Linked DNA regions of Caenorhabditis elegans. The protein of the gene in region 3 interacts with the protein of the main gene of each other region in a pairwise test. Each region holds a gene or a part of one and is shown on either strand. Other genes may lie near its edges. The genes, in order: T22D1.5, T09B9.4 and paa-1.

Region 1 (6,193 bases), on a different chromosome or scaffold from region 3:
TTTTTAAAAGTTTCAACTCTCCAATGTGATTTTACAGTTGAACGTTTCTGTTCGTGTTGGTCAAGCCGTTGACGTTGTTGCTCAAGCCGGAAAGCCAAAGACAATCACTGGATTCCAAACTCATACTACGCCAGTCTTGCTTGCCCATGGTGAACGTGCCGAGTTGGCGAACGATGAATGTATGCCATCCTAACATTTGATAATTAATTTTTAACTAAAATATTTCAGATCTCTCTGTGACTCCACATCTTGAAGGATTGGTTATTTTGAAGAAGAATCCAGATTATCAGCCGGTTGTTGTATCAACTAAGAAGTAACCAACAAATTTATGGATCTAATTTATTTTTCTCCCCCTTTTCTCCCATCTAAATTATCCGTTTTGACCCGTTTTATTGTGCACAATCCGATTGCATTCGCTCTCTGCCCGATTTCCCGTTTTTCTGTCAATTTTCCCTCTCCCTCATCATTTTTTCTTTGAAAAAAACGTGTACACTTTAAATTTGAGTGGGACGGTATTCGAGTAAATTATTACTTTCAATCTTATCATCCTGGGTTTTATATATGTATTAATATTTATTGATCACAGGAATTTGAAGATCTTCTAGGTATCCTTATCAAAGTATCGAATATATCAGAAAATCCGTCAAGGTGGCGATTGTTCGACATTAGATTTTCAGCATCGTTCGCATACATCTGGAAATAAAATTTAGAATGTTCAAATGTGAGTTTGGAAATTTTAGTTTTTCAGTTTTTAGAAAAGTTTAATGAATTATTACACTCACCTCAAAAGTAGCCTTTTTATCCATAAAAACATCTTTCATTTCATCAATTTCATTAATAATATCACTTGTCAAATATATAACAACAAGTGTCATAATTGCCATAAAACATAAAATTCCAATAGCAGCAAAATCAGCGATGAAACGAAATTTGTATAAAAATTCGGATGTATTCATAGTTTCGAAAAAACTATAAAGTTTCAAAATTTGATGTATTAAATGGAAAAGTAATAGAAAGAAGAAGCAAATGACCAATACAATTAGACAAAGAATTGAAAACTACAGAAAACAGGTGATAAAAGATAAGAAAAAGTGAAGAGATTTAGAGATATTTGTAGAGACTAACCAGTTTGACGAACTATAGAAGTGAATTGTGTAAACTTTTAGACTTTTTGTGATTCAAAAAAAAACAGTTTGAACATTTGAAATCACAGTATTATTTAAAGGTGCAGTGTTTAGCAAAAAATTATCGTAACGAGACCCGGTCACCATATTTCCGGCACAAAAATCTAACAAATAATGTTATAAGCCCATTTCATAGTTTTTAACATTTCCCACCAATCTAATCGTTTTGAAAACCCATTAATTTTTTTCAAAAATATTCTTGCAGGTTCAGTAAAACGAGATGAGCAGGAACAATCTTATTGTTTACATGAATCCGCCTGACATTTTACAAGAATACTGAAATTTGTGAAAATTGCACATAAGATATGGGACCAGGCGATTAAATACAATAGGGAATGATTATCTGACATGATTAAACTTTAGGATTACTTAAACAGGATTTATTGGTTCGTTATTGATGTTGAACGACCCTGATGATGACGTGCTGGATTGAGCATAGTAATCGTCAAATTTGTGGTCGATCAAACGTTGCCAACGAGTCCGAACCATCCCAAATTCCTCATCATCTTGGCGTTCGGTGTTCGTTTCTGAAAGCAGTGTTATTAACATAAACAACCATTTTATCTTATTAAAACATACTCTCACAAATTTCCTGCTCAAGAAAGCGAAGAGCGCAGACAAAGCCATTGATCACTCTGAAGGCAAGTTGCGAGTTCTTTTTGAATGATTGCAGATTCCATTTGTCTGTGCCAAGGATGTCCCGAAATTGAGCGATAGCGTTTTCGAACGGCAGGGATTGCACATTGTTATTGACAAGAAACTTTGTGATGGCATCGTAGAACATCCGCAGGTCGTCCAATTGAAGGATTCCTGTAGATTGCACATCAAGGACGCGGAACCAATACTCGATCGATTGATTCTCGTCAGTCCCAATCATCGCAAATATGAGCCACGTCACTTCTTTCGTATCGAGATAGTTTCCCGTTGAACGACGCACTAGGTTACTCGAGAAGATTCGGTCGACGATTATTGTTGGAATACCGGTTTCGTAGCAGTAAATGGCGATGGCATTCGAATCAAATATCTCATCCCATTTGCCAATATGATTGAGCTCGACTGCGCAGAGTTGTCCGGTGTGCCTACAATTTTAATAATTAAATGACTAATCTGAGATTATAGCCGATTACTTCATGTACCAATCCTCGCATGCATAACGCACGTAGTCATTTAGAAGATCTTTAGTCTTAACTTGAATCGTTCCCGTCCACGTTCGCCCAGCAGTCCAGAGTATACGCTCAGTGACCTGAAATGTTATCGATACACAAAATTAAATTAGAAAAATAGAAAATTACAATGATCGAATACATTTCAGCTTCCTCCTTTGAACAGTCCGTTTCAGTCAGTTTCCGCTCGAAAATAGCTGACTGCAATTCTTCGCGTGTGATCACTTCTGAATACGACCGCACTCTTTCGAAAATTGATGAGTTAACAAACTCCAAAGCAGTGTGCATTGAGCACGAAGATGTACTGCTTTCATTTTCGAGTTTCGTCGCTTCTCTGTAACAAAAAATCATGTTTAAATAAATCTGATGATTCAACAAACATGTGCGAATCATCGACTCCAGTGATTGCTTGAGACGTCAGATTTCCGCTGGAGTCATCCGAGCAAGAGGACCACGACTGATCGCGAATCGGAGCTCTCATTCTCGTGAGTTTTGGTGATGACGTGGCAAGCGGGGAAAACAGATGCTGAAAATTTCCAAGAATGAAAAGTATATTCTCCTGAGCTGATAAACATACCGTCGGGAACTTCACATCAATAACAGACTTCATCTGAATCTGCTGGCTCATTTTCACGTGGGATGAGCGTATTTGAACACTGAAAAGCAAATGCTTAAAATGTTATAATTGATTTGAGACAAAAATTCTGGATAAAAAAGTGAAAAAGATGTAATAAAACGCAGAAAAGAACTAAAATGGACTTTCGTAAACAATTTGTCACTAAAAATAAAATTTTCGAGGCTAGCTGTAGATCGTTCCGCGCGAGACCTTCACGAGTGGCGACATGTGTCTTTGAAAACTACAAAAATCAAAAAAATAGGCCTAGAAAATACTAAAAACACGTGAAGCATTTGATAAAATATTTATTTACACCATTTTATAGAGACGTAAACACATTTCAATTCATTTCCTAACAAATAACAATGAATAAACAAACAGTTATACAAAAATATTGGTGGAATCTGATTATCGGGACAATATTTATGTTTATGATCCAAGCAAGTTCTCAAGAATTGAAGGTGAGCATTTTTCAATTTTAGCATCGAAAAAGTAGTAATTTTCAGCTCGTAGGAGATTCAGAACTAGCTATATTCCCTGAAGATGCTCAAAAAGTTTGCGAAAGTCTCAATGGAAATCTTGCAGTGTTGACGGATGAAAATAGGGAATTTTTTGAGGGTAAAACAGTTTTTAAAAATATTTCTCAATCTAGACTTTATTTTAGAGCAACTATTCAGAAACTGTACACCTCATTCAGATTTTTGTCCTAAAATGTGTGTTTTTGAAAATTCATCAGATAATCAATTAGAAGAACTCAAAATACCAAATGGTGTGATTATGACACAACCAGTTCATCTCGGAGACACATTGCACTTGAAACTGAAAATGGAAAATAAAACGTAGGAATTACATTCAAAAAATGGAAATATGTTAATAGCTTTCAGAATGGAAGTCTTCCAACTATCTAATGCAATTATCGAAGATATGGAAAAAGGATCAGAGCAACAAGTTTTTTTAGAATTATCAATTTACAATAGATACGTTGATAAAAGTAAAGCTATAAACCATACAAAAGCTCATAAAGTTAATGTTGGATATGGTGAACTTACAATAACAGAAAAATGGGAACGATCTAAAGTAAGTAGTGTGCAGTATGATTGTTTTAATTGGTCGATATTTTTTAGCATCTAGTAAAGCCGCACAGGCTTGACATAGATCAATCAGGAGATCCCACAATAGACTTGAAATTAGAGTAAGTTCGAAAATATTACTTTTCCATGTAACGTTACCAACCGTAACTTATCGTACTTCCGTCTTTTTTATCTGGTAGATTTGATATTTGGTTTTTCTATAAGATAGAGTAACACCAGTTGGGCTTTTGTATAAATACTCTCATGAAAGTATAGCTAAATGATATCTCACTAATATTTTTTTTTGAGAAACTTATTCTTAACATTGCGCCAATATATTAAAAAATTCAACTTTGTGAAAATATAACTCTTGAAATATTAAAATTCAAACAATTAAAATGTAATGCAAAAATGTGAAAACTTCGAAATTCTTACTTTTTAAACTGTAAATATGAAACGAATCAAAGGGTTTTAAAAGTTTTACTATGATTTTTGCCCATTATAGCAGCATTGTAGTGATTATAAAATCTCCTACTGAGTGTACTTTAATGCTAGGACACTATAGGGTACGGTAGTTTTCCCTTTGACATTCACCGAGTTTGTATATTTTAGGCCAATATTTTCTTAAGTTTTTAATTAGTTTCTAAAGGTTTCCAGCATCCTTCTCAACGTTTTCAAAAAAAAAACTAGCAATAAAATGTGAATATTCAATGTTCTCCACCAGGTGGAGAACATTGAATATTCACATTTTATTGTAGGGGTGGCAAGAGTGCGACCTAGGTCGCTAGGTCGCTGTTTTCATTTAGGTCGCATTGCGACCTGCGACCTAGCGACCTGCGACCTAGCGACCTGGGTCGCATTGCGACCTGAAGTACTGACATTTTGTGCACTTTCGGTTTTGATTCACTTGAGTTGTTAAAATCTGTATAACTCGAAAACTACATAAGATTGCAGAATATGTATACTAACAAATTGCTACAAATCATTTATTTTACATTGTTTTCGATTTCTTATCCATAACACACCTTGTCGAAAAAAGTTAGAACAGCCGACATCCGCCGGATTTGTTGCCGACTAAAATTGTTTCAACTTGAAAACAATGGTACTTATGGGTTTCGTTCCCCCCGAAATGTTTTAACTTTCTAAATTTCAATTTTTTTTTTGTAGAATTGTAGAATTTGTAGAAATCAATGCTTTGCTCTGTGCTTTTTTCTACGTTTTTAATTTGAAAAGTGGAAAATGAAATTTTAGAAACAACGCATAAACTTATAAAATCTTAATAGAGAAAATGTTAGTGGAATATACATATTCTGCAATCTTTAGTTTTCGAGTTATACGGATTTTAACAACTCAAGTGAATCAAAACCGAAAGAGAACAAAATGTCGGTAATTCAGGTCGCAATGCGACCTAGGTCGCTAGGTCGCAGGTCGCAAAGCGACCCAGGTCGCTAGGTCGCAGGTCGCAAAGCGACCCAGGTCGCAAGGTCGCAGGTCGCGATGCGACCTAACCCTCTAGGTCGCAGGTCGACCTAGGTCGACCTATAGCCACCTCTAATTTGCAGTGGTGGACTCCACCACTGTGCAAATAAACTTTGAAAACGCTAATATTTCCTTCTCGTAAATCAAAACATATAATATATCAAATAATTATCCCGATTTCAATGTTCAGATTCACCAACGATCAACTGTTGAGCATCAGTTCTCCCCAAAGACTTGGAATAAATAAAACATTTGAAGCTCCAATTGGAAAACCGACAGGAAGGGTGTACTTCAGAAAATTTTATGAAAGTCAACTATTAGATGCTTATTTCACAAGGTTTGATGGTTTTCTTATAAATTTTTAAGTTATAAAGAACTTTTTATGTATAGAGGAAACTGTTCGAAAACTGATTTTTACTTCTTCCCTGAGAATCGAACCGATGGATTTGTGAATTGTCTTTACACGCGATCGCGATCTGTAAGTTTCCAAAATTCTCGTTAAGTTTTCATAGTTATTGTTCTGTTTCAGTTGTCAATTCCAGTGTATAGTTGCCGGAGTGCTAGATATGCGGCTTGTATGGATATTCGTGATCCAAGTGTTTCTACAACTACAGTACCCCCACCAGTCAGTTCAACGAGTATTCCGGTTACTATAACTTCAACTGTAACCACTACGACAAC
Region 2 (7,589 bases), on a different chromosome or scaffold from region 3:
CGACATTATTAAACACTATTTGGACGGGCTCTAATTGGTTTTTCTCTGGAGATTTTTACTCTATAAGCGAGAATTCATACAATCTAGAACTGGAAAACACTACATTTATTCACAGTAAACACATACATAATATTGAAAAGCACTTCGACAACGTTACCATGAAACAATCAAATATTGATTTGAACTTTAGACATTTAAAACATGTTTCCAATAGATAGTATTATTAATGAGTGAGCAGCGATACCAAGTTATTTTTGTACAGACCGGATAAAAACGAAGTTAGATTAACTTCCAAAAATATGGAATTTTTATCGCAAATTGTTCATTTGATAAACCTGGGTGTCATTTTTAAGGAAGTGAAAAAATGTTCATAATAGTTAAAACTAAGAGTAAGTGTTTGATTTTTACCCTCAAACAATTGTTTTATGTGGGAGTATTGACAAGTAAAAACTGTGAACTCGGATTTTTAAAAAAACAAGAATTTTGAATCTCAAAAAACTATTTCTTTCGCTACTGTCAAAAACGGTTTTACCAGGGTTTTTTTTCCAAAAACTATAACTGTAAAATCTACGTCATGTGGCAACATAATGCTAGGTTTTCATTTTACTCCGTACAAAAAAACTCAGCTGGACAAAATAATAGGTGAAAAAAGATGGTGCGAAGGTTCCGTCTGTACTACAACTCATCGTCTGATTCATATAAAAGTGTACTAATTTTGTGTATACTCTTTAAAACCCATGTTTTCGTTACTAAATTCGCAAATTCAAAAAAAAAACCAAAAATTGCATAACATATAAAACGTTTCTGATTGTTTTTTTTGTTAAATTTAGTCATTAGTGGTTGGGGTGACACATAATACCGCCTAATCCTTTACACATGGGCATCCTGAAAGTTGTTAGTACCCATATTTGTCTTTCATGTGATTGTGGTGGTACATTGGTATTTTAACTGAAAATGTATTGCTAGTTAGTTACTTATCAAAACAACAATTTTTGACGCAGTGATAAAAACAATAGCACACAAATTTCGAATCCGTAATAACGTAACAATATTCTCTTCTTTTTTTCATACTTGTTTATCATTTCAAAAAATGAGCAAAAGTAGTTTAGATTGCATAATGCATAAAAAATTTGTATTGAACGTACATTTAAAAAAACGTACACGATAAGCAATATTTTCGCAAGGGAGTGAAGGCTTCTTTTAAAAATAAGTTAATTTCTAATGTATTTTATTAGCCGTTCCACTACTATTTATACACTGACACAGTGCTTTGATATTGTTAATTTATCAAAGCCAAGTATTTTAATAAAAATTCAACAGACATTTGAAAACCTTTTATTGCAATTATTCATAACATTGTGACAATTTTCCGATTAACGTCTAACAACTTTTACATGATACTCTGAAAATTGTTAAATTTGAAAGTATTTTCTATTCGGAGATTTTTTGGTTTTTTTTTTTTGAGAAAAATCACATTTGGTTTTAAAAAGGGACTGACAATGATTTTGAAATAGCTTGAAATAATTTAAAAAAATCATTACAATAATTGCTCATTATGGAATTTGTAATTTTATACTACTTGTGTGTTTGATATTCAAAATAAATTCGATTTGTTTTTTCATTATCTCACTAAATGTTTTCAAAAATTACTACTACCCCACTACATCCCAATAATTCCCATGAATTTAACACTGTAATATATTTTTAAAAAATATATTAAAACTGCCGTTCTAAATTAACAAATTACGAACAGCCTTTTAAAAAATCCGATTAGATTTTGACATTTTTTGATTTATGCATGATTTATGCGAATTGATTTCACTTCAACTTTAGCCCTGTAAAAAACATATTTTGATGCTTTTCCAACAAGTGAACAAGGAAAATTACTTTATGAATCGATAAAACAGATCCATATGAGAGAAACGAATCAGCCCAATGAAAAATCAAATCAACGTTTCAAAGCTTTCAAGAATAAATGTGGGAGCCATAAAACCGAATGAAAATATAAAACGGGACGGGAAGACGCGGTGGGATGGGTGTATGTTCAATATTCCGCAACATTATGCATCAAGCGGTTAAGCATGAGTCTACTTGGTATAATGAACAGGAGCATTTAAAAGAACAAAAGACCGGTGGAGGGATGCTGGATGTGATTTAACATATTTGAGGGAAAGACACATGTAAATGTGTATACCTAATGATTATTGGGACAAAGTGATTAATTCATTGGGAACAAGGCTAGCTAAGCATTGGGTTCTATAAAACAAATCGTCGGATGATGTATTCGAGTAAATGTGCATGGGAAGTGTTTTTTTTTGTCATCGGGGGATATGGTCTAGTAATGAGAATCTGGTCTCTCATTTCTAGCCGGAGTGGCTCTCTGAGTTGGGTGCACAGTTGCCAGGATCGGTGCAACCTGAGCGTGCGGATGCGTATCGTTGTTGATGTTAGCAGTTGAGTTCGATCCTGCACGGCTTGTGCTAGGCTGAACAACGACGGTCGGAGGAGAGGATCCATGTGCTCTTCTCTCGGCAAGCATTCGATGAGGAGGCTCATCTATGCTGTTGTCATGGCTCAATGCAGCAAGTCGCCAAGCAAGAGGTCTGAAATTTTTATTTGTTCGCTCAACCTATTTAAAAGTAAACTAACCCATCAGTGCGAACGGCTTCGATACGAATAGCTTCCAAAACAGCCTCCATCTTCGACATGCGTTGATTCACTGAAAGTAAGATATTTTGTTGGTAAACAAAATAAATACGAATAAAATTGAATTGAAAGTGAGATAAATGTAGGCTGAGAACTGCAACCTTAACGTCTCTTTGAACTTCCATTCAGGTGATAAAGACTTAAAAGAGATAAAGACTATGTTGATCCATCCCAAACATGCATAGGTTTCCTTTGATTTAACATAGGAAGAGCACTTTTAGTAATTCAATAAATAACAACAAGATGTTTTCAAATTTTTTTTCACTAACATTTTTTGACTTCAGCCTCTGTAGCTTGCGATCGACGTCTCTCCTGATTGCACATTCCAACAAGCTTTTTGTTTTCAATGTGCAAATGGGCAGTTTCGTTGAGTTGCTGACGATAAGAAGAAGTGGACTGTTGGTCAGTGTTTCTAACAAGTGGCGAGCTGGTGCTGACTGCGGGCGAGTTGGTGTTGACCACTGGAGAATTGGCGCTGACATTAGGCGAGTTACCATTACTGAAAAAAACTTATTTGTCTGGCTACAACAATTTTTAAAACTGACTACTTCTGGGAGGCAGATGCATGAAGTGCCACTTCGACAGTGTCGTCGAAATCGACAAAACCGTTCAAGTAGGCCATTTCCAATGCTTGTTGCAACTTCCGCTTCTCCTCGTTCATCTGGCTCATTCTCTTTCCCAGTGTATTGATGAGCAACTCTTGCTCCTGCTCCAAAGCTGATTCATGATCAACTTTTTCAGCACGGAGGCGCATCAATTCCTCCTGATAGCTTTTTTCAGCGCGGCTACAGTACGTGCGAAGACGCTCTATCTCTGCTTGTTTGTCAGCCATAAGCTTCTCGGCAGCAGCTTCATCTCCATGAACATCGGGTATCTTGGCGACATTTGCCATGAGAGATTTGGTGAGAGACTCCTCATCTTTTTGGTACTTCTTGACAAGATAATCCTTGTCTTGGTTCAATTGCTGGATCTTTTTGAGCAAAGAGTTGGAGATATATTCTTCCTCTTGCTCGGCTTTGGTGAACATCTGGACAGCAGCAATGCGGAGCTGCTTGTTTGCTTCCAGGAGCTCCTTGTTCTCGCGTTTTCGCTGAGAGTTGACGTGCTGTAAGGAAGAAACAATAAACTCAACAAATGAAAATTCATTGTTATTTTTTTCAATTTAAGTTTTGCTTGAATGAAAGGTGAGACATCTTCAAAGTCGATAATCAATAAACAAATGAACCAAGTCCCACCTTTTGACGGAAAAAGCGATACATGAGATCAAGCATTTCAAATGGCAATTCTTTGCGCAGTTTCTTGTGATTATCAGGCAGCGGTGTCGTATGATGAACACGGTAGACAGTTCCATTAGACGGTGCTGGTTCGAACCACGTTGGCTGTTCAGCAAGCAAAAACTGGTAGAACTCGGGGTATCTCATTTGAATTTCCCTGTCGGCAAGCAAATCGGGAACACCAATGTTCATCATAATTGTGCGAACTCCGTCTAGATCCTCAGCGTCGCCAACCTCGGCCTCGGAATTGCGGGAGGAGAACATGGATACGCTGGCACCAATTGACGATCCTGGGCTAAAATTTATCAAATTTAAAACGTCAGTAGCAGTCTTTACGGAACATAAAATAACTTTGTGCACATACCTAGGAGCAAACGGTTCGTGACCGCCGGAGTGGCTTCGGTGAACAGAAAATGATGATTCACCTGAAATTAATCATTATCGATTTTACAAGAAAAGTAAAAAAACAACCTCTTCCTGATGCATCAATGTGCAGAGCCTCGTTTTTGGGTGTTGGACGCTTTGGGTGCTCCATTATGAGGTTTTTGACCTGGAAATCAGAATTTAGCCTGGAAACAGCAAGGGATTGGCAAAGACTAGAAAGAAATGAGCACACGAACGACTGTTCAAATGCATATGCGTTCGAAAAAAAGAAGGGGGAGACATTGTTCGGTAGGGCGCGCTTGCATTTTTGTGTCTGCAGACGAGAGAGAGAGGGAGGATTGGTGTGTTGCTGCAGGGGGGTTTTTTAATATTTTTTCCCAAACGTTTTTTTTTTGTTAAAAGAATGTGGCTGAACAATATCATTTTGATAATTTGAAAATCAAAAAAAGCAATGACATTCGTTGCTTATCAAACCATTTCCGTTCAAAAACGTTTTCTGTTTTTTGATAGCACTTTTCGACGACACGTTTTTAGGCTGGTGATAGTTTTAAAGAAAAATTTTGTTAGACCACTTTTGAATCCCGGTTGAGATTTTTTTGAACAAAAAAAAACAATTGACGAGTTGTTTTTCCTTATAGTGAAACCAAGAAAAAAGAAATACCACCCCCAAATTGAAAAGAAGGACAAAATGAGAAACGCAAATGAAGGCAATGAGATGAGGAGATTTGCGTACCCTTCCTGCCACGTAGGAGAGTCTGTCTGATGCACACCCGCTCACAACATCAAAAAATACTCACAATGCACTCACACGCAGACAGGCAAAGTGACCCTCTGAATTGTCCATTCTCAACGAGGGTAAGAGGGAGAAACCAAGTGAGAAAGAAGGAGAGAGAGAGTTTTAAAATTTGGGACAGGTCAGTTGACTGATGAGTAATGAAAGTGGATTAGGTATCTTTTGAGTGTTTGCACATAGACTGGTTCTCACGCTTTTTCTTAAACCGTTCTATGAATGATATCACACTCTAAAGCTAAGGAGAACGGTTTTGTAACAACGAAGGCACTTAAATAAAATACTTTTTTTTAAAAATATTTATTCAAAATTATCATAAACTTATAATAAATCAAAATCACGTTGAAATCTCCTACAGTTAGCGATATTTTGAAAAGAGTATGTTTGCTATTGTACTTATAGATTTGATGTATAATATCCCAATATTTTTTGAAATGTCACATTGAGTTTATATGAACAGAAAAAAAATTCATCAAGATGTACTGTCACTTGTTATTATCTTGTCTTTAAATGAATTTATTGACCACGGTATGCCAGAAATAACCAAAAAAGAACAAGAAAACATTGATTAAAACTAAAAATCTGATGCAAACGTGTTTTCAATTTGAATATATTCCTAAATTCTATGTTTCAAAATCTAAATGAGAAATTTTAATTGAACGCAAATTATTACTGTTTCTGAATGTTAAACAGTGTCAGAAAGAAAATACAAAAAACTAGTTTTGAAAATTTTGGCTCCAATTCTAAATATCTTCACTTAAGCCTCTTTTTGAGTAATTTACAGCAGTAACTTCTTCATTGGCAGTCCATTTTTAGATGCAAAATTGAAACTATCAAAATTACTTACTACATGGTTTTGTCCGCAGTTCCTTATCTTCATGCTGAGCATTTTTGCAAGCAATAATTTGAGCCTGAAAAACTAAAAATCAAAATTTAAACGAATGTATAAAACATAAATTTTGAATGGAAAAAGAACATTCATTTTCTGTTGCCGTGAAAAAAAAAATGTCGAGCGGCAAAATTGAAGGCGTTAAGAAGTGGAGGCACTCGTTGACGGCGTGGAAATTGAACGCTTTGTGGGTTTATGCTTGTGGCCCGGACAATTGACATTTCATGAACACGCGAGGGCTCTTTTTTTGTGATCTGAGCTGAATTGGAATTTTGAAGAAAAAACCGACAAAGCAGAAATACATCAAAATTTTTGAATTATATTTACATTATGAATTTATTTGGAGACTGAAGTTCCATTCAGAATTTATATTTTTCAACATCCCTGAAAGCGGTCACTTCATCAAACTAAAAATTTAAAAAAAACACGGGACGAAATCCGAAATCTTGGAAAATGCGTCTTGAACAAATATGATTTTATGTAACTGGATTGGGAAATGGATGGAAGATTTTAATAATTCCATTTCTATTTAAATATTTCCGTATTTAAACTTCAAGGTTTGGCGATAATAAAAAATTTGTGGTGTCATAAAATGCAAAAACCAGATATTTATATATCGATTGCGTTTGTTTTATATTTACAAATATCAAACAACGTTGTCAGTCTAAAAACAGTGGGAATGTGAATATTGAAAAGTGAAAAAATTATTTTCACTGGAAATGAAAAAAAAAGACTTTGTCGATCAAAGAATCAAATTCCCCGTTTTAATCCGAACTAATTCTATTTGTTCGACATATATGCGAATATCAGTTTTAATCCATTTATTAAGTTGAAATTATCATTTGATATATTAATTATTGCTTATAAGAACATTCTTCAATGTAACATTTTTGGTGTTTGTTAAAAAAAAATCATGAAATTAATAAGATGTAATTGACAATTTTAATTTTTTTTAAACTTTCGACAAACTGAGAAAGTTTACGCAAAATTGACCTTCTTAGAAAATTTAAAGCAGCTTCATATGTTCAAAAAGTTACACTGTTTGGATTCAAATAATCAATAAATGAACATCGTTGAAGAAAATAATTTTCCAATGATATGATAGGCACAAGGAAGAACATTTTTAATGAAGAAAAGTCAAAATGCGACCTTTTAAACGCTATGAAGTTTTAATTAAAAAGTTTGAAAATTGCACTGAACAAAAAAAAATTTTAGAAGAAAGCGGTATAATTCGGATGGCTGCATGACCGAATATGATATGTTAGAACAAATTTGAGTGGATTTATGAGTACAATAACATGTTTTCCAGATTGTGCATGTCCATTTCCCGACAAGAAATGTTCGAGAAAAGGTTTGCGTTCCTGTCTTTATGAGCCTACACATGACGTGGACCTTCAATGAAGCAAAATCAAGGATGTTCATTATGTTCATCTTGAATTTGAAACTATTATTTTAAAAAAATGTTTCTTTGATCTTGTTTTTTCTACTCCATAAGTGAAAATATGAAATTTTTTTAAAAACTTCTTGACCCATGCATACCAAAAAC
Region 3 (7,166 bases):
ATGAAGATTTTTAGCCATGTTGATATTTCTCTCAAAAATTAAATTAGTATTTTAAAGTAAAAAATGTTGTATACATTTTTTCAAAAATCGTTTTAAAGTAACAATCCCGTAGTTAGAGCGGTAAAATGTCTTTTTTTTTTAATATAATACCCGAACAGAAGTCATCCGTGGCTCCCTGTATTCCTCCAAATCACAGAAAGTCCCACTCGTGTACGTTTCCTCGACGAAAAGCAATCGATCATCCGTTGATTCTTGATAGGATGGCATTTTGAGACTTCCATCGAACAATCCGAGTATATTCTTTACATATCCCTCCTGACCAGCTGCAATATATATGTATATTGATTGGTTTATTTTCCTATTATTGACACTCACGTTCTCCGTGCACTTGCTCAATTGTCTGTCCACGGCACAGAATATAAGACCACCAGTGATTACCACGTAGTTTCACACATTTGTCCACGTAAAAGCTTGCGGCGAGCGCGTCTCCATAGATTTTCGGATTCTTGCTGCTTTTTGGTTTGTCTTTCTGAAACCAGACAATATTTGAGACCGTTTATGCGTTTTTAATGTCTGAATACTGAAATAAAACTCTTATTAGCGTATTTTCACTGATTGTTTATAAATTATGGTGAAAATTTAAAAAATTAAGCGAAAAACTCGAAAACGTGACTTTCGAACTAATATTATCGCTGTAATGAAACAAAGAACACCTAAAGTCAACTGTAAACAACACGCTACAAATTTTTGCCGATTTTTACAACAAAGCACAATATTTAATCTAAAAATGTGTACCTTAACATCTTCCACATCTGGCAAAGAACATGCAAACTTCTGCCCTCCTTTACTCGTCACAAACATCAAATTCTGCTCGGTCGAGTCATCGGGAATCCGATTAACAATTCGCTTTTCGAGATCATCAATATTGCTGGCTGTAACTTTTCGAATATCCAATTCCGGGGCGAACCAAAGAAAATTCTCGCCAATATTCGCGTCATAAGAGACCCGTCGGTACTCTGCAAGGTCAAATACGCCTGCCGTGGCGGTCGTGGACGGCAGCAGGAATAGTTGGAGGAAATAAATTATCATCGTCTTGGCATAGCACCTGCAAAGAGAAACTACGTAAACAATTCTCCGATTGAATTGAAAAATTGAAAAGTAAATGCGAACAGTTTTTTAATTGGAAAAAATAATTTTGGCAACGAAAACTTCTAGCCACGTGGCAAAATCTGAGCACTGGAAGTTTCTGAGACAATCAATCGGGAAACTGCGCGTTTAATATAAATTTATGCCCGCTCTTTGCCAGCTGGATTTGCCAAACGGCCAAAAAGATGGTTTCAAAGTTCCAAATGGCAAAAGTAAATTTTTTATTTGAATGAGACGTTTCACAACGCTTGCAACTTGAGCAATATTTAATCCACGTTGCAAAAGCACCGAGATTCTCTGCTCAAAAGCTTCTGCGACGTGGCATACGCCGGATAACACCATTATTCCAAATATTTTCAGAGATTTCAACCACACTGATCTAACCTAACCTGAGACCTTTTTTCTCATAATAGACGATGACCTTTTATTCTGCAAAAAAAATAAATGAATGAATGGGTCGCAATGGAAAAAGTGGTGATTGTGTGTGGTGGAAAAAGAACAGAAAGAAGTAGGATGGTGAAATATACGGGATAGAAGTGGGAGGAAAATGAAAATAATCATAAAGAGAGGTCGCATAATTTAACGATTATAATTTGTATTGTTTTGTTGTGGGAGGGACGGTGGTTAGAACTATTACAATACAGAGTTTTGTCTCGAGGGCTAAACATTTACAAATGAATGAGGAGAGATAGAGATTATTCGCGTGCTCGGGAACAAAAATGGAAAAATAAGACGATTGAGAAGTGGAAGATGTAGAGATTCCAATTTGACTAGCGATATGTTCGATTACAAGCCGAGTGCTGAAAATGTTCAATTTCAAATTCACTCTAAATTTTAAGACAACTGAAACTTACAGTTCTTGGCTTCCTCTGAAAAGTATCGAACGTCAAAGTCTGAATCTTTTCCGAGCTTCTCGAGCAGTGGCTTCACCTCGGACGTCAATGTACTGAAAATAGAAAATTGGGATAGTGAAAAAGATTTTCCTGTCACCTTGGGGTCAAGTTCTTTCCAATTCGCTTCAAACTCTTTGCGGCGTTGAATCTGACATTCGGCACGTCATCCTCGACAAGCTGAAATTAGAAAAATTACGATTTCTTTAAATAAAAAAGTAAAATTTCCCTACATCTTTCACAATTGGCATAATCTCCTTCAGAATCTGCTCCTGAGTCATCGCCTCACTGAGTGTATTCAAACAGAACAAGCATGTCATTCTCTGCAGGTAGTTGGTGTCCTTCTGAAGTTTCTGCATTTTTGGTACAATATTCGTGCTAGCCCATTGTCCTCCAAACTTCTGTGTCAGTTCCTTCATGATGAGGGTCGATGCCTCGCGGATTGAGAACACTGGAAAAAATTAAATTAAAAACATTTTTAAGAAAAAATCAAGTTACCATGGTCGGTAAGCCAGTTCAAACAAAGCGGAAGCAACTTCTCATCGAAGAATTCTTGTCCCAACTGGGAAGCAAGAAGTGGCATGAATTGAACAATTGCGAGTCGAACTCTCCATTTTCCATCCTCGGCCAATCCAACGATGGCTGGCAAGAGGGATGTGGACAATTGAGCTGCTCCGATCACTTCATTGACCTTATCAAGACTGGAAATAATATTGAGGCGAACTTCTGGGGTTTGATCGTTAAGCAACTGCATGTAGATTGGGAGAAGCTCAGAGACAGTTTGTTCCTTGCCAATCAGTGGAGCAAGTCCCATGATGACACCGGCGAGTTCCGACTTGACGAGCTGATTCCCATCAGTAACCAATTCCTTGGCAACGTTGAGCAGTGAGTTGCAGATAATGTTCTGACGCTTGTCCTCTGGCAAGTTGAGAGCGAATTCCTGAAGTCTCTGAGTGGCAGCACATCTAACCTCACCCTCTGGATCCTTGAGAAGGTTCGTGTACATGTTAACGAGATGTGTGGTATCCATATCCTCACCGAGGACATTCTGAATCTCGATAAGCTTCTCGGCAACCATATAACGAACTCTCCACGACTTGTCATCGAACAATTCAATGAGAATTGGCTCGATGAGTTTCTTCTTGTTAGCCTTATCGAGGAGAGTTCCGAAAGCGATGGCTGACTCGACAGTGAGCAAACGAACAGAATCTTGCTCATCAACATGAAGATCAGTGAGACTGGAGTGGAGACCCTCGATGACGGCAGTCTTCTCAAACACCTTTGCGAACTCTCCGAGCTTTGCAGCAGCAGCACGGCGAACCATTGGGGTGTCATCACGGCACAGGGTTCGGAACATGCTGAAAATAATTAATTTAGATTGCTTTAGTTATTCTTTTCTTAATTCTCACCTCTTCAATTCCGACTTGATAGCTGGACTGACACGTGGATAAACAACAGAGAAAAGCCCACAAGCCGAGGTACGGGATGTGAACCAGTCTCCAGTGGCCAAACGTCTGAGCATCGGCACGAAATGCTCCTCCAATGAGGCCGAGCTGTGCTTGTCGGCGATTTTGCGGAGACTCTCAACGGCTTTGTCACGGACCACGGTCTCCTCGACTGTGGCCAAGTTCTCAAGTGGAAGGAGAAGACAATGAACATGATCTGGACCACCGACCAATGGAGTGAAATTTCCGAGTTGCTCGGCGAGCACAAGCAGAACCTCATCTTCGTCGTAAATCGTGTCGGTCAAAAATTGGATGAGCTCGTTGCGTGTGCGCTCCACACCCAACGCCAAAGCGATTGTGGAGAGTTTGCGAATGCTGTTCAGTCGCAACGTGACATCTTCGTTGCGCAGCTCGTCAATGAGCACGGCAATCGGGTAGAGCGCGTCGTCAGTGGCTTCTTCGACAACCGACATGATGAAGAGTGCTGAAATTTGTTTTATGAAAATTAATCTCGCGGCTATTCAAAGGAGAAAGAACGGGAAGAGAAACGGATTATCATCGGGCATGAGGAGAACAAGAGAGAGAGAGGAGACGCAGTGAAGATAACACAGCAATGTGTTGAAATATTGATTACCGGGTGGTTTTTGGAGAAATAAATTGGAGAGAAAATAGAAAAATTGAGTATTTTGAAAGAACTTGCAGAATCTACGAATAGTCATCTTTGAATATCTGATATTAAGAAAATTAAATTCAAATTTAAGAATGTTCAGTGCTAGAAAACATATTTTTGTTGAAACATTATTATTTCTGTACGAAAATATAGAAAATCAATGAAATGGAATTGTTCAAAGAAGAAGAGTGTGATTTTTAAAGAAACTATTGGAATTTTCGAGAAATCAGTGAAAAACTCTACCACGTGGACAATATTTTCACTGATCTTTCGAAAATCAACTCTGAAACTCGTGAAATTTCGATATTAAGAAATCGCTATAGTGAACCTGACGAACATGCAAAAAAAGAGCGGCGAAAGGAGAAGAAGAGAAACAGCTGCGACAGTGATACGCAGAGAAGCAGAGAACGGCCATCTCTCTCTCACTGCAATAGCACAATCCATCGCGCCTGCGGTCGTAGAGCTCTCATCGATTTGTCGTCGGTTTCGGTGTACTGGACGTGGCGACGACAGAGGGAACAGCGCCGGAAAATGACTGAAAATGTCCTTAAAATAGAATATTTTCAGTGTAGAAGGGAGGATGAAAACACAGGCATCACGTGATTAGTGAACAGCCAGTTTTTTTCTGATATTTAAACAATAAAAAGGCTGAAAATTAATTTGATTCGAATTTTCAGGCAAAACGCGTGGGCATGCTGTTAGAAGAACATCATTAAACATTTAAAATCATCATGGTTTCCTGGTTTTCAAAAATTTCAAACAGGCGAACAAAAGAGAAAAGGACGTCAAAAGCTTTAATAAAATATGCAAAAGTGAGTGCACAATCGAGCTTTTGGTTCTCATTTTTCGCAAAAGCGTGGTGCTCTAGTACGTATTCTTCTCATTAGCTCAGTTTATATATTTACAGAACAGTACAATGGGAGACGGTGCGAATGTGTTCAACACATTCAGCTTCAACAAATGGGCAGACGGCAAGCGTGAAGAGGAGATAGATAAGGAAAGTAGACGGCGACGAGCCGAGCAGGTTTGTGGTGGCTCTCCAAGGTGTATACTAGTGGCTTAATGACAGATTAAACGACTGAAGGAAAGGCTTCGAAAGGAGAGAGCACTGCGTGAGGCTCAAGGTGATGGAGATCTTGATTTGGATGCATTGATTGAGGCGTTACAAAGAGGAGAAGTTATCAATATACGTATGTCAAAATTATTTATTTTACTATTTAAAAACAGTGATAGAATCTTAATCACATCAGGTTTCTAATTGTTACTAATTATGTTAACTGTTCTTACAACCAAGATTTATAACATGAATAGAGAAGGATATTTGATAATTTGGATCCTATTTCAGCTCAACAAACCGATGTAATTGTAACCGAACCTATCGAGGAAACTTCTAAAAGAAAACGAGGGGTGCCAGATAATTTGTCAGATGATTATATCTTTAATGAAATAAATCTCTACGCAAATCGCTCGATCGGCTTGAACAATATTGCAGAGCCGGTGGACATAGCGCCTGTTCCACTACAAAAATTAGGTGAGGAAATTCAAGAAAAACCAATTTAAAATCTACTGTAAATTCAGATCCACTCTCCTTCCGTTATAATCGAAGAAATCAGAATAACGAAATGATCGCCAATGAGGAGCAAATTGTTCAACACCGGCCGAATAACTTCAAGTTTAATAGAATGATACAGGATATTCAAAAATGATTTTTTTTTTCGAAATGATTAATAAATTCTTATACTCTCTCCAAATGATCACAGCAACTAGGCAGAAAAAATGAAGGATGACTCAAACGTTTTAAATTTCGAAACTATTGGAACTAAATGTGTATTTCGGAATAATTAATAAAATGGATTTTAAAAAACTTGTCAACCTCTCACTTCCGAATACAACCAATCTTCGATGAATGAGACAAAAAAGTTGTTTTCAAGAAATAGTTTCAGATTCGACCCTTACTTTGCTTAAAGGTTATTTGGACTTATTTAAAAAGTTATATTACTTTTATTTAATCGTATTTTGATTTAAAAATGTGCGCTTTTGGTGGGAGAAACAAATAAAAATAGCGAAATATTGCAAAAAATAAAAAAATAAGGATAAAAATTGGCGAAAAATGTTCGAAAATTCAGATTTGCGGTGGAGCGCGTTTGCATTGCAAAAACTCGCGCCAACCTAAAAAAGATTACCGCGCCCGCGAGTTCATATTTATTCAAATCAGCCCTGTTTTGAATTTATTTCAAGCAGAAAGTGCTTTTTCCCTTATTTACCACCTAAATACTACACCTCATATCTACTCAAACAAAATGTCTCGTGTCATAGGAAGACTTCCATCAACTCTAGAAGATAACGGACCCTCTGAAAATGAGCATTGCGTGGAGACAGGTAATTGTGTGTCAAAATTCAAATATGATTGACTTTTTCAAAGTATTCTCAGATGAGACCATCTCCATCTTTCCATGCTACAACCTCTATCCAAAGAAAAGCCTCAGGCTTTCAGTTTCCGGAAAGTAAGCTGCAATTATCTCTTAATTTTCTTAATTTTACGACATTTCAGCTCCGAAAAGCTAAAGTCGATAAATCTGAATTGCAAAAATCTCGTAGAAGATGAAATCGCTCCGATCAAGCGAAAAGACGCACGCAGTATTCAGAATCCGTTCAAAAAGTACAGTATTCCCGATGAGATCACTGAACAAATCTTTTCCAATTTGAAAAAGAAGGATCTTCTCTCGGCGATGCTCGTCTGTCATCGTTTTTACGGAATCGGACACAAATCGAGAAATTGGATTATCACCGACGCCCAGGATCGTCCTATTTCCGAAATTTCACTGATTGCGTTGTCACAACGAAAAATCAAAGTTCTTCGTCTGGCAGGAGCTAAAGTGAGAATTTTATTTTATTTCCTATAAAACTAACTGTTTCCAGGCCGATCGAATCCTTCGTGCCGATGAACGGCTCGTCGAAGTTGCACTGCTGAGCACCTCCCGCTTGGAGCTTCTCGATCTCTCTCGCACTAATCTC

The links.
Region 1: the proteins of paa-1 (region 3) and T22D1.5 interact in a two-hybrid assay, tested with the Caenorhabditis elegans proteins (one large-scale study listed by BioGRID).
Region 2: the proteins of paa-1 (region 3) and T09B9.4 interact in a two-hybrid assay, tested with the Caenorhabditis elegans proteins (one large-scale study listed by BioGRID).

What each region holds. Positions count from the first base shown.
Region 1 is NC_003282.8:6,900,760-6,906,952, reverse strand, and holds T22D1.5 (EF-hand domain-containing protein), read right to left. Parts: upstream 3,004-6,193; 5' UTR 2,976-3,003; coding exon 2,925-2,975; intron 2,874-2,924; coding exon 2,728-2,873; intron 2,682-2,727; coding exon 2,477-2,681; intron 2,428-2,476; coding exon 2,312-2,427; intron 2,264-2,311; coding exon 1,764-2,263; intron 1,712-1,763; coding exon 1,554-1,711; 3' UTR 1,407-1,553; downstream 1-1,406. Other genes in the region: rpn-1 (26S proteasome non-ATPase regulatory subunit 2), read left to right, coding at 38-179, 229-317; T22D1.17 (Col_cuticle_N domain-containing protein), read right to left, coding at 574-693, 783-956; T22D1.8 (SRCR domain-containing protein), read left to right, coding at 3,329-3,424, 3,470-3,581, 3,628-3,802, 3,848-4,040, 4,088-4,155, 5,703-5,849, 5,903-5,990, 6,042-6,193.
Region 2 is NC_003284.9:9,769,823-9,777,411, forward strand, and holds T09B9.4 (uncharacterized protein), read right to left. Parts: upstream 4,531-7,589; 5' UTR 4,516-4,530; coding exon 4,452-4,515; intron 4,406-4,451; coding exon 4,345-4,405; intron 4,276-4,344; coding exon 3,942-4,275; intron 3,812-3,941; coding exon 3,252-3,811; intron 3,206-3,251; coding exon 2,976-3,205; intron 2,720-2,975; coding exon 2,650-2,719; intron 2,604-2,649; coding exon 2,336-2,603; 3' UTR 1,875-2,335; downstream 1-1,874.
Region 3 is NC_003281.10:5,447,529-5,454,694, reverse strand, and holds paa-1 (putative serine/threonine-protein phosphatase PP2A regulatory subunit), read right to left. Parts: upstream 3,966-7,166; 5' UTR 3,955-3,965; coding exon 3,446-3,954; intron 3,395-3,445; coding exon 2,535-3,394; intron 2,488-2,534; coding exon 2,270-2,487; intron 2,217-2,269; coding exon 2,137-2,216; intron 2,093-2,136; coding exon 2,001-2,092; intron 1,947-2,000; coding exon 1,933-1,946; 3' UTR 1,558-1,932; downstream 1-1,557. Other genes in the region: F48E8.4 (MRH domain-containing protein), read right to left, coding at 151-323, 376-529, 796-1,089; F48E8.8 (Hsp20/alpha crystallin family protein), read left to right, coding at 4,883-4,963, 5,059-5,175, 5,221-5,341, 5,497-5,682, 5,730-5,857; skpt-1 (F-box domain-containing protein), read left to right, coding at 6,452-6,530, 6,574-6,655, 6,703-7,027, 7,071-7,166. UniProt on the Caenorhabditis elegans protein: Acts as a scaffolding protein for phosphatase let-92 and its regulatory subunits.